Linked DNA regions of Ovis aries. The protein of the gene in region 2 purifies or fractionates together with the protein of the main gene of each other region. This does not show direct contact. Links are inferred from orthologs where the notes say so. Each region holds a gene or a part of one and is shown on either strand. Other genes may lie near its edges.

What was found.
Region 1: the proteins of FBXW8 (region 2) and CUL1 purify together in Homo sapiens (affinity purification with western blotting; 9 studies listed by BioGRID and IntAct, with this or other methods). This does not show direct contact. The link is inferred for Ovis aries from reciprocal best matches to the Homo sapiens genes FBXW8 and CUL1.
Region 3: the proteins of FBXW8 (region 2) and CCDC8 purify together in Homo sapiens (affinity purification with mass spectrometry; 3 studies listed by BioGRID and IntAct, with this or other methods). This does not show direct contact. The link is inferred for Ovis aries from reciprocal best matches to the Homo sapiens genes FBXW8 and CCDC8.

What each region holds. Positions count from the first base shown.
Region 1 is NC_056057.1:113,064,495-113,068,094, forward strand, and holds the start of CUL1 (cullin-1), read left to right. Parts: upstream 1-1,236; 5' UTR 1,237-1,382; intron 1,383-1,638; exon of another isoform or gene 1,639-1,945; intron 1,946-2,092; exon of another isoform or gene 2,093-2,218; intron 2,219-3,600. UniProt on the Homo sapiens protein: Core component of multiple cullin-RING-based SCF (SKP1-CUL1-F-box protein) E3 ubiquitin-protein ligase complexes, which mediate the ubiquitination of proteins involved in cell cycle progression, signal transduction and transcription.
Region 2 is NC_056070.1:58,087,801-58,091,517, reverse strand, and holds part of FBXW8 (F-box/WD repeat-containing protein 8), read left to right. Parts: intron 1-544; coding exon 545-751; intron 752-3,717. UniProt on the Homo sapiens protein: Substrate-recognition component of the Cul7-RING(FBXW8) ubiquitin ligase complex, which mediates the ubiquitination and subsequent proteasomal degradation of target proteins.
Region 3 is NC_056067.1:53,468,978-53,472,794, reverse strand, and holds the start of CCDC8 (coiled-coil domain-containing protein 8), read right to left. Parts: upstream 2,756-3,817; 5' UTR 2,069-2,755; coding exon 392-2,068; 3' UTR 1-391. UniProt on the Homo sapiens protein: Core component of the 3M complex, a complex required to regulate microtubule dynamics and genome integrity. It is unclear how the 3M complex regulates microtubules, it could act by controlling the level of a microtubule stabilizer.

The DNA.
Region 1 (3,600 bases), on a different chromosome or scaffold from region 2:
ATTAAGAACTAGGAACTGAGGCAATGAGAAGTGGAGAGGAAGGTAGAGATGAACTAAATCCTCCCATTAGGGAAAAACAGACGTTGGAAGAAACAAACAGCAAAGGGAAAGTTGACCCACTCAGCTCACGTGTTAGCTGTGGGGAGTCACAGACAGGACGACCATATTGGATGATGAAATGGCAGAGGACAGGTTAGACAAACGGGAGATGAGCTAACCTGTCCTCTGAGGAAAGCTCGCAGCAGTGAGGGTCTCAGAGAAACCATATGTGTGCAGCCTCCCATATATGTGTACATATATATGTACAAGCCTTCCATTTTTACCTTCAATTCTCCCATGTGCCCATGAGAAAGTTAAATACATCTAAGCTTCTTTTGAATATTTAGAAGTATAGGATATTTGTTGCTGTTCTGCCGCTCAGTCCTGTCCAGCTCTTTGCAGCGGCATGGACTGCAGCACGCCAGGCTTCTCCGTCCTTCACCATCTCCCGGAGTCTGCTCCAACTCATGTCCATTGAGGATATAAAGCACGAATTTAAAAATCCTTAAATAGGCTGAGATCACATACTCTGGTGACAGGTACAGACAAATGCCATACTTTTAAAGATAAAGAGTTGTTGACAGAAGGCCACATTTCAATAGGAGGAACCGCATATACAAGTATGTCTTAAGATATTTCTTCTAAGAGACATCCATATTCCTCAGGAAACAGTGAGGGCTGTGGGAGTAGCCCTAGGCTCTGGGCCTAGCATTTCCACCCCAAGGTGATACTCAATGTTTTAGTTTTGGAGCAAAACAGGAAGTTACAGTCATCAAGTCTTTGGCCCAGATAACCTGAAATCTTTCCATGCTGAACTGTTCATGGACCATGGGATTAGAGAAGAAGCCCCTTCAAGTCCAAGCTTTCTCACCTGTGTCCCCACAGGAAGCCAGGTGGCCATTTGCGCTGCCCAAATTTGTATTTCAGGTAACCACTTGTGAGTTAATTTCAGATGAATGAGACGAACGACTCCGCAGCACTGGTGAAAACAGTCCTATTCAATAGTCATACCTCACTCATCCCATCCATATATGTAAGATCTTCAATTTCATTCTTCACTTAATCTTTACAGAGATTAATGGTAAAGTGTCTTTGTCGACCTCTGTTCAAAAAAGAGTGGGTTAGAGAGTTTGAAGAGGTAAGCTAATTTGGTTTGATCTCCGAACCAATTTTAGAGAGAGAGAGAGACAGAGAGACGCCGAGGAGCTGGGACTTTGAGGTGCCGATCCACGAGGCCGCAGGTGTCCTGGGGTTCAGAGAATGGACGGCACGTTTCTCTGGAGTCTGCTGCGCCTGCCTTTCAGGGCCACTCGCCCATCTCTGACTTTTATCAGCCGGTCGGGGTATGGCTTTTGGTTATCCTCCCGCCGGGAAGGTAGATCCAGCGGGTGTAGTTGTGATCCGTGTCGGTTCAGTGTGTGTGCGCGCAGGAGCGGGGGAGGGCGGCGTGTAAGACCCTCTGCTCCGGGGTGTTTCGGGCCGGTTTCTCCTCAGGCTGGGGCCCCGACCTAGGAAGGTGACCACCCCCGCCCCCTCCTCGTTCGGCCCAAAGTGGCGGGAAGCCGGGTCCTCAGAGGCGGCCCCCAAGGCCAGGGAGGCAGTAAAACCTGGAGGAGGATCCGGTGCGCCCGTCCGGGGAGGGTGCGGCGTCCATGGCCAGGGGCCCGCGGGGGCTTTCAGGTAGAGAGCAGCCCCGCGAGCGGGGCCTCGGCGGCGCGGGGCGGCGGGCGGGGTGGGGAGAACTCGGGGCCGCGGCACGGCGGGCGGGGGCTTTCGGGCCCCTCCCGCTCCGCGGGGCTGGTGGGGAGATGGCGGCGACGGTTTCCCGGCTCCCCCGCCCCGGACGCCGATGGCGGAGCGTTCCGGCCCTCCCCCCCCAGCTTCTCCACCGCGGGAGCCGGAGCCGGTGAGGCCGGGAGGGCGGGGAGCGGCGAAGGGAAGGAGAGAGGGCGGAGGTTGCGTGGTGCAGGCGGCGGCGGCGGGAGGAGGGCCGGCGGGCGGGCCGGGAGGAGGAGGAGGAGGAGGAGGCGGGAGCCGTGTCGCACGCAGCTCCAGGCGGGGCAGCCCCGGCGGCTGAGGGACGCGGCGAGACCTTGGCGGGACGGGGATTTAACCGGGGCCGGGCCCAGCGACCAGGTGGAGACGTCGCCGGAGCCATTTAGGCAGCCGGGAAATGCGGGTGAGTTGTCGGCGGCGCCGGGGCTGAGGGGAGGCGGCGGCGGCGGCGCAGGCCCGACCCGGAGCCGCGGTGTCGCAGTGACTGGGGCCGCGGCGGCCGAGCTCAGGCGCCGGGCGAGAGGCCCGAGGCGCCGAGCCGCGACCGGGCGGAATGGCGGCGGGGGCCGGGGCACTCGTGGGCAGAGGGCGCCGGGGGCGGGAGGGGAGCGCGCGCGCGCGCGCGCGGGGTCCGGCCCTGAGTCACCCCGGCCGGCTCGGGCCTGGCGGGCCGCGGCCCCGGACGCGGGCTCGGGGCGGCCCAGGCCCGGACTACGCACTGGGGAAAAAAAAAAAAAAAGGCCCGATTCATCGCGCCCGAGGCGGCGGCCTGGTGGCGTCCGCCCCTTTCCCAGCGCGACCCGCCTCGGGCCGCGGAGCCGGGCTGGCGAGCGGCCCCCGGGGCAGTCGGGCGCGCGCGCCTCACCTCTCTCCAGGCGGCGACCACCACCCCACCTCAACCAAGGGGTGCCCGAGCCCGCGCCCTCTTTCCCTCGGCCCCCCTGGGGACCCACCGCTCCCCCGAGCGTCGCTTGCCCCCGACTCGTGCTCTCAAGTAAAGTACTGGGCTTGCGCGCCGGAGGAGCCGCGGAGCCGGGCTCTCTCTGCTTTCCGGTTCCCTGCCCCGCGGCTCCCGGGTTTCCCCGCCCGCATTGTTGCGACTGTGCAGGGCGCTATTATTGGGTAACAGTCGCCCCTTTGCCCGGTTCTCCTCGGGGAGCGGGCCCGGGGCGGCGCGCAGGGATGCGAGTGCGGCGGCCGAAGCGGACGGAGCGCCCCCCCCGCCCCCCTCCGCGGCGGCCGCCGAGCGCCCGCGAGTCGGGCCGGGCCTGCGCCGCCGCCTCGGCGCGCCCCCGGCCCTGCACCCGGCGGGAGCGCGCGCTGACCCCGCAGGTAACCCGGGCGCCGGCCGGCCGCGTGCAGGGGTCGCCCCGCGCGCCCTTCTGGCCCCCCGTGTGCTGTATGCCTAGTGCTGGTGGTTCCGGGCAGAAACGCATGGTGAACGTTCCTTGAGCCTAATCCTCCAAAGTTGAGGGTTTTCTCCCTTTAGCGAGCTCTCTGCCAAAAATAGGATCCTCTTTTCGGATTGGATCACTGTCGTTGCTCACAGTTCGCAGCTGGAGTTAGTGGTGAGGGTGCAAATGAGGAATTGCAGTTAAGTGTTTATTTGCTCTGTGTAATTGCTCTTCGCGCAGTGGCATTAAAACAGTCCAAGTTAGTGGAGTCAGGGGTCACGTAGTTTTGGAAATGCACTCATCGGAGTGACAGAAGGGACTGAAATTCACTTTTACTTGAACCCCCAGCTTCTAGACCTCAGCATAGCTTTAGCAGTCTGCAAAAGCATGG
Region 2 (3,717 bases):
AGGTGGCCACTGTTAGATTTACGCACATACAAGCCAAGTGTGTCCCAGGCTTCCTCTGCCACTTTTACACACCTTGCCACACTGTAAAGTCCTCTTCCTTTGCTTCCTTGCTTTCCCCCCCAAGTTTGTCTTAGCAGTGATCTGTTTGTAAGAGTTTATAGAGAATGTCAGTGGTTTTTTCTGTGACTGCATGGTATTCCAGGACATCGGTGTACTGTAGATTGTTTAATTAGTCCCTTAGTGAGGCATGTTCTGGGTTTTCTGGTTCTTAGCTGTGACCAAATAGGGCTGCAGCAAATAACCTTGTGAATTTTCACTTTGCATTTCTCTTATTAGGAGTATGCTGTGTTTCTTTTATGATGAGCATCATTTCATTTGTGTAGGAACTGTGTTTCACTTCCTGTGAACCATCCCTTGACCTGTCTTTTTCTGTTGGGTTGCTGATCTTCTCATTGACATGCAGGAGGAATTGTTCATTTGTGACCAAGTCAGGACGAATTGTAGGTGAAACCTGAAGGACTAACCAACCCTTATCCTTTAACAGGTTGACTACCTTGAAATAGTTCCGGACACTGAAAGGTACCCGGTGGCAGTGGCCACCGCTGGAGATCTTGTATACCTGCTAAAAGCTGAAGACTCTGCCAGAACCCTCCATTACGTCTACGGGCAGCCGGTCACGTGTCTGGACGTCTCCGCCAACCAGGCTGCTTTCGGTGTGAAGAGTCTGGGATGGGTGTACGAAGGAAACAAGGTACAAAAATAGAAAGATGTACGATTTAACAAAAACACATGAATGTTATATTTGAAGAGGCAATTTGAAAATTAAATCTCTGATATATTTTTAAAAGATGTGTTCAGGCAGTATATATTGATATATATATATGTGTGTGTGTGTATATATATAATCAGCCTGGTTAAAAAAGATTTCAGGTAGCTCAAAATGATATAAAGTGGCAAGTAATTTCCTTTCTCTTCCCTTCCCCCAGCCCTACTCCATAGAAGAAACTATTAACAGTTTTTAGATATCCATCTAGAAAATTTTAATGCATAGGTGGGTACGTTTATACACTAAAAGAGTGTATCTTTGAAATGAGGTCGTAGTGTAACTACTGTTCTGTGCCCAAGGTTTTATTCAGTAGCGTACCCTGGAGAGCATTCCGTGTCAGCTCCCTCTCCCTGGGATTCCAGCACTGCCTACGACAGTCTGCTTCACCAGTCTCCTCATCGCTGGGCACTGAGGTTGCTTTCTCTCTCTGTGGACTGTTAACAGACAGTGCTCCAGTGCACACTGCAACTTGTCAATCCCCGGGATGAATTCCTAGCATTTATGCCGCTTGGTCAGAAGGTTGATGGACATTGCCAAAGTGCCTTCTGATGAGGTTGCCTCGAAATTTACATCCTTTTCTGCAGTGTGTAAAGTGCCTCTTGATACTCTCTGAGCCAGAAACAAGGAGACAGGTTTCTAATTGAAATTCTTTGCATGATGACTCGATTTTAGCACTACTTAGTATTTTACTATCCTGACTGTAGGCCAAGTATTTAGTCTTAAAACTGACTTACAGAACTCTCTCTTCCAATGGGATCAGCGGGGAGAGTTATGGATAAAGGTTTGTGTTGTTTTGATTTTCCTCCAGTTTGCTGGCTCCTCACCCTGCTGGCAGTGGGTATAATCCCTGGGAAGGAACTTCTCCGAGCCAGCAGCTCCTCTGATATCGTCCTTTTCCTGTGGAAAGAGCCCTTTCCACGTAGCAGTGTCCTGAACTGGGAGAGAGCTAGACTGGATACAGGCTGTCTGTGTTCCAGTTCTAACCCTGCCACCCGCTCCCCACTGTGACCTTAAACGGGTAGCTTAACCTGCATTGTGCCTTAGTTTCCTCATTTGTAAAAAGGAGTCCCATCACAGTACTGACCTCGTAGAATTCTAAGATTAAAGAAACAACGTGTGTAAAGCTTTACCCATAGTGCCTGGCATCAGAGAATTAACAGTCTCTGAGTGCTTCCTGTTCTTTTTCGCACTCATAGTCTGAGCCGAGCCTCTGGTTGTGGTTTGTACATTTTGTCTCTCCTGTGTAATCTCCTGGAAGGTCACATCTCACTTCTCTAGGCGTTTACTGGTTTTGTGACTTGGATTCCTATTATATGTTCTTCAACCAGGAAGACAGATAAAGTGGTTGAAAATACATGAGACTCATTGTAATCTCACTGTAAAAAGGGATCCCTTTGTGCTCAAGCTGGCCTGCTTTGCTGGAGCCTGTTTAGCGTATCTTAGCTGGAGAGTCTGTGATGATATAATTCCTGTGTTTTATCCTCCTGGAAAGTGGGGAAAAAGGGACAGCAGTTGGTTTCCTAAGGCAGTTTCCTTTGTCAGCCTTTGAAAACACTCTTTTCCCATCCCTGGCAAGCTCAAGCTCATTTATTGAAAGAAGAGAGACTATTTGCTTCTTAATTTTTCATCCATCATGCTTTCAGGTTTCAATTATCTCTCTTATTTCTCAGGTTCTCAGTGTAGTGAGGTGATACCTGAATTAATACTAGCCTGGTTTAAATCTTTCATAGTTTTAGTAAATATTTCAGCTGACAGGTCCTATTTCTCTTTGACTTATCTGAGTGGATCTCTTTCTATAGTGATACAGTCGTAGTTGGATGTATTTGAGAAACAGATATATTTGAGAAACCAGTTAAAGGGATGTGTGTGTGCTCAGTTGCTCAGTCGTGTCCAGCTCTTTGTGACCCCATGGACTGTAGCCTGCCAGACTTCTCTGCCCATGGAATTTTCCAGGCAAGAATATTGGAGTGGGTTGCCATATCCTCCTTTCGGGGGATCTTCCTGACCCAGGGATTGAACCTTTGTCTCCTGCATTGGCAGGCAGATTCTTTACCACTGCCATCTGGGAAGCCAAGCCCCTGGTTAAAGAAATAGCTCAGCACAAAATTAGACTTGGAGCACCCTTTAGATATTGGTCTAAATAGGCGCTTTTTTGGATGGCTCTCAAATTTTCCAACCCAATTAAAAAGCATTAATTATGAGAATTAGCTGATTTGTATGTTAATTTGATAAAAATTCATTTTAAAAAGTTCCTGTTCCCTCTAATAACTTGCTGTTGTTCACTTACCAAGACATGTCTGGCTCTTTATGACCCCATGGACTGCAGCACACCAGACTTCTCTGTCCTTCACTCTCTCCTGGCGCTTACTCAAACTCATGTCCATTGAGTCAGTGATGCCATCCAGCCATCTCATCCTTGGCCATCCCCTTCTCCTCTTGCCCTCAGTTTTTCCCAGCATCAGGGTCTTAACCGGTGAGTCGTCTTTTCTCATCATGTGCCCGAGGTGGAGCTTCAGCTTCAGCATCAGCCCTTCCAGTGAATATTCAGGGTTGATTTCCTTTAGGATTGACTGCTTTGATCTCCTTGCAGTCCAAGCAACTCTCAAGAGTCTTCTGTAGCACCACAGTTGGAAAGCATCAATTCTTCAGTGCTCAGCCTTATCTATGATCCAACTCTCACATTCATTCGTGACTCTTGGAAAAACCATAGCCTTGACTAGATGGACCTTTGTCGGCAAAGTGATATCTCTCCTTTTTAATAGGCTGTCTGGGTTTGTCATAGCTTTTCTTCTAAGGAGCAAGTGTCTTTTGATTTCGTGGCTGCAGTCAACCCTCCGCAGCGATTTTGGTGCTAAGAAAATAACGTCTGTCACTTGTTAGTAGGTGTTTTC
Region 3 (3,817 bases), on a different chromosome or scaffold from region 2:
CTTTCATTACATTCCTTGGGTTACTATAAAGAGTCTGTATTAAAAAAAAAAAAATCAATGCAAAAAAAAAAGTCAATGCATAGGGAATTCCCCGGCAGTCCAGTGGTTAGGACTCAGCACTTTCACCACTGGGGAGACCTGGGTTCAATCCCTGGTCAGGAAACTAAGATCCCACAAGCCATGTGGGAAAAAAGAGAAAGAAAGATAGAAAAAAAAAAATCAATGCATAGAAAATACAGTTTTAATAAGAAAGGGACATTCGGTAGAGACGTGAGAGGCACTGCCAGGCCCTCACTCTACCTCCATTTTCAAGTGTGGAGAGTCACACATGCCGTGAGGGACCCACACTGCGGCAGGTGCTGAGGTCCTCCGTGGCCCCCCTGCCCTCACCTCACAGCTGGTCCTCTTGCTCTCCACGCTCTGCCTCCGCTCTGGCCTCGGCCCGCAGGACCCTGAGGCTCCTGGCCTCGCCTGCCCTGGGCACTCTCTTGGGTAGCGTGGGCAACCGGGGAGTGTGCCAGAAGGCTCTCCGGCGCTTCCGAAACCATGAAAAGCGTCCGGGGGTCTGGAACCTCACTGTCTTGACTGGTTTCCGGGTCTGAGCTCCTGCAGTGGCCCCTGTGGCCCTTCCGGCAGCTGAGGAGTCAGCCTCCGGAACAGCCGGGGTCTCTGCCCTCTGATTACAGGCAGCTTCTGCCCTCTGGACCGATCCAGCTTCTTCCCCATCAGGTACAGCCTCTGCTCCCTGGACAACCGGGGCTTCTGCCCTCGGATCCTCTGCAGCTTCTGCCCTCGGGTCAGCCGGGGCCTCTGCCCCCTGGACAGGTATGGCCTCTGCCCCCTGGACAGCCAGGGCATCTGCTCTCTGATTATCCACAGCCTCTGCCTCCTGGACAGCTATGGGCCCTGCTCTCTGATTAGCTATAGCCTCCCCCCTCTGATTAGCTATAGCCTCCCCCCTCTGATTAGCTATAGCCTCCCCCCTCTGATTACCTATAGCCTCCACCCTCTGATTATCTACAGCCTCCCCCCTCTGATTAGCTATAGCCTCCCCCCTCTGATTAGCTACAGCCTCCCCCCTCTGATTACCTATAGCCTCCACCCTCTGATTATCTACAGCCTCCCCCCTCTGATTATCTGTGGCCTCCCCCCTCTGATTATTTGCAGCCTCCACCCTCTGCTCATTTGCAGCCTCTCCCCCCTGAGCTCTGGAAGCTGTTTCCTCTCTCCTGCGACGTCTGAAGGAAGCCCAGTTGATCTGGGGCCTCCATCGCCTTGGGGGGGTCTCAGCCACCCGCCCATCTCGTGCATTTCCCAGGTTACACCCCAGGCTGGCGCTGCCTGGCACCGATGCACTGTCCCTCTCCACCCCGGTAGAGGCCTGCCTGGCCTCGCCCACCCCGGGGCTGGACTTCGGTGTCCAGCCCTTCACCCTCCGCTTCAGCTTCCCCCAGGACACCTGGCTGACACACTCCCGCCACCTGTCCGCTTTGGACTGCTGGGGCCCTGGGCTGTCGTCAAACATGGGTACGGGCAGGTTCACCCGGCGGCGGGGAGGAGGCACGCTGGGTTTCTTCTCCCCTCGCCGGAGGAAGGCCTCCACCAGTTCCTCATCATCCTCGCTCTCCAGGTCGCTCCCGAGGAACTTGCTGCCCAGGTAACTGACGGGCATTTTGCGCACCTTCCTGCCACGGCCGGCGCCTTTGCGGCCCTTGTCAGCCTTGTTCCTGGAGGTCTCGAAATCGCTGAACTCGCTGTCACTGGCGTTACTGCTGTCATAAGTGCCCACGACCAGCCGGGGGGGTGGGGTCACCATCTGCTGGACTCTCCTCCTCACTCGGGGCTCCTTAGACTTTCTAGGGGGCTGGGGTGGATGCGGGGTGCTCTTCTCGATGATGCGGGCCACGTCCTCCAGGGTGCGGCCCTCTTCTTCCAGAAACTGGATCAGCCGTTCCCGAAATTCTGCCTCCTTGGTGGCCGGCTTGGAAATGACCCTCCAGACGCCCCCGGCCAGCCGGACCTCGCGGGGGATGAGCAGATAGTCCACATCTTCCCCAATCTGCAGCATGCCCACGGTGGAGTCCTCCTCCCGGCGGAACACCTTGCCGATTTTCTTAAAGGTCCCCACGGGCTTCAAAGCTTCGACGAGGACGTCCAGATCCACGTCTTTGCAGACGTCCGGGACGCTCCAAAGGATGAGGCAGTCGGGGGACGGGAGGAAGCCCCAGGGGAACCAGCCCCCCACATGGCTTTTCTCGAGCGTCTTTAAGATCTCCAGGGTGAAATCTGGGCTGGGGGCAATGAGCCCAAACTGCTCGTAGCCTCGAGTCTTGGGCGGGGAGAGGGGGGTAGGTTGCTCTCCCCGCAGCGCTGCCCTGAGAGTCTCACTTCCCACTTTCCTCTGCAACAAGTCCGGTCTCGATCCGCTCCCCGCGAAGGATTAGTGGGAATCAATTTCCAGGATGCTTACGTGAGCCGGGGTGAGGTCAGTTCTGAGGCTCCCAGCCCACTGCAAGCTGCAGACGCGGTGTCCCGGCTCCAACTGCGGGCGCACGGGCTGTCCGGTGGTTCTTCCTGTGCCACAGATGCGCCTGGAACTTGAGAGAGGACTTCGCAGACAAAGGCGGCTCAGCCTTGGCTATTCAATATGGCCGAGGCGCTCGGAGGCCGCGGCGCAGCTCCCCAGGAGGGTCTCCCACTCCTAGGCAGGCTTCCACCTCAGGCCAGGCTGACCTTGCCGCGCCTCCCGCCTCCCGGCCGAGGAGCGCGCGCGCGGGCAGGAAGTTCCTCCTCGCCGGCCCCCAGGATGGGGCCCACCTTCCCCCTTCTCATCTTACACTCCGGGACTCGGGAAGACTGACAGGGGGGCTGTCCACTCCCTTCGGGACGCCCTCATTCCCCTCCCCCACAGGGGTGTGGCCGCGCCCCGGGCCTCTCTGAGGCCCCGTCTTCCTAGCCGATCGCCCCGCGCCGAAGCGAAGCCCACGTCAGCAGCTTTCCCCGGGAAAGGCGGCCGTTCCCAAACCTGCCATCCCAAACGTGCGGGTTCCAGCCAAGCCCGGAAGGTGGGCGTGCAAATGGGGCAGTCCCTCTGAAACCCGTTGGCACGGTGTATTACTATTTTAAAATCACGTGACTTTTGGTATCCGCACTTCCTACCTATAGACCCAAACAGGTGGGTAGAGAACTTGGTACCAGCTCCAGGATGGAGCTTGGCACACAGTAGGTGCTCTAGAATACTTCTGAGTGAATGAATGAATGGTTGGATGGGATCACAGGCTTCAGTGGACAAGAGACTGAGCAAACTCCCGGAGATAGTGAAGGACACGGAAGCCTGGCTGTGCTGCAGTCCATGGGGTTGCAAAGAGTTGGACACAACTTAGCCACCAAACAACAGCAACCTGATCATCAGTAGAAACTCGGTTCTTTCAGTAAAATATTAGGCAGCTATGAAAAAAAAAGTAACTGAGGATAGTCACCTTTTATGGAGCACTGCTGCTGCTGCTGCTGCTGCTGCTAAGTCGCTTCAGTCGTGTCCGACTGTGCTACCCCATAGACGGCAGCCCACCAGGACTAGCTATGTATTAATACTAGACATCACTCTATTAATACAAATTAACTCATGAAATCTTCACCAAAGCATTATGAGACAGGTAATACGATGCTCATTCCCATTTTACAGCTGAGGGGAAAAAATCACTTGCTCAAGGTCACATGAGCAAGAAGAATGGGAACCTGGATTTGAATCTCAAATAATCTGACGTGTGTGTGTGTGTGGGGGGGGGGGCATGTTCACATGCATAGGCCAAATGGCATA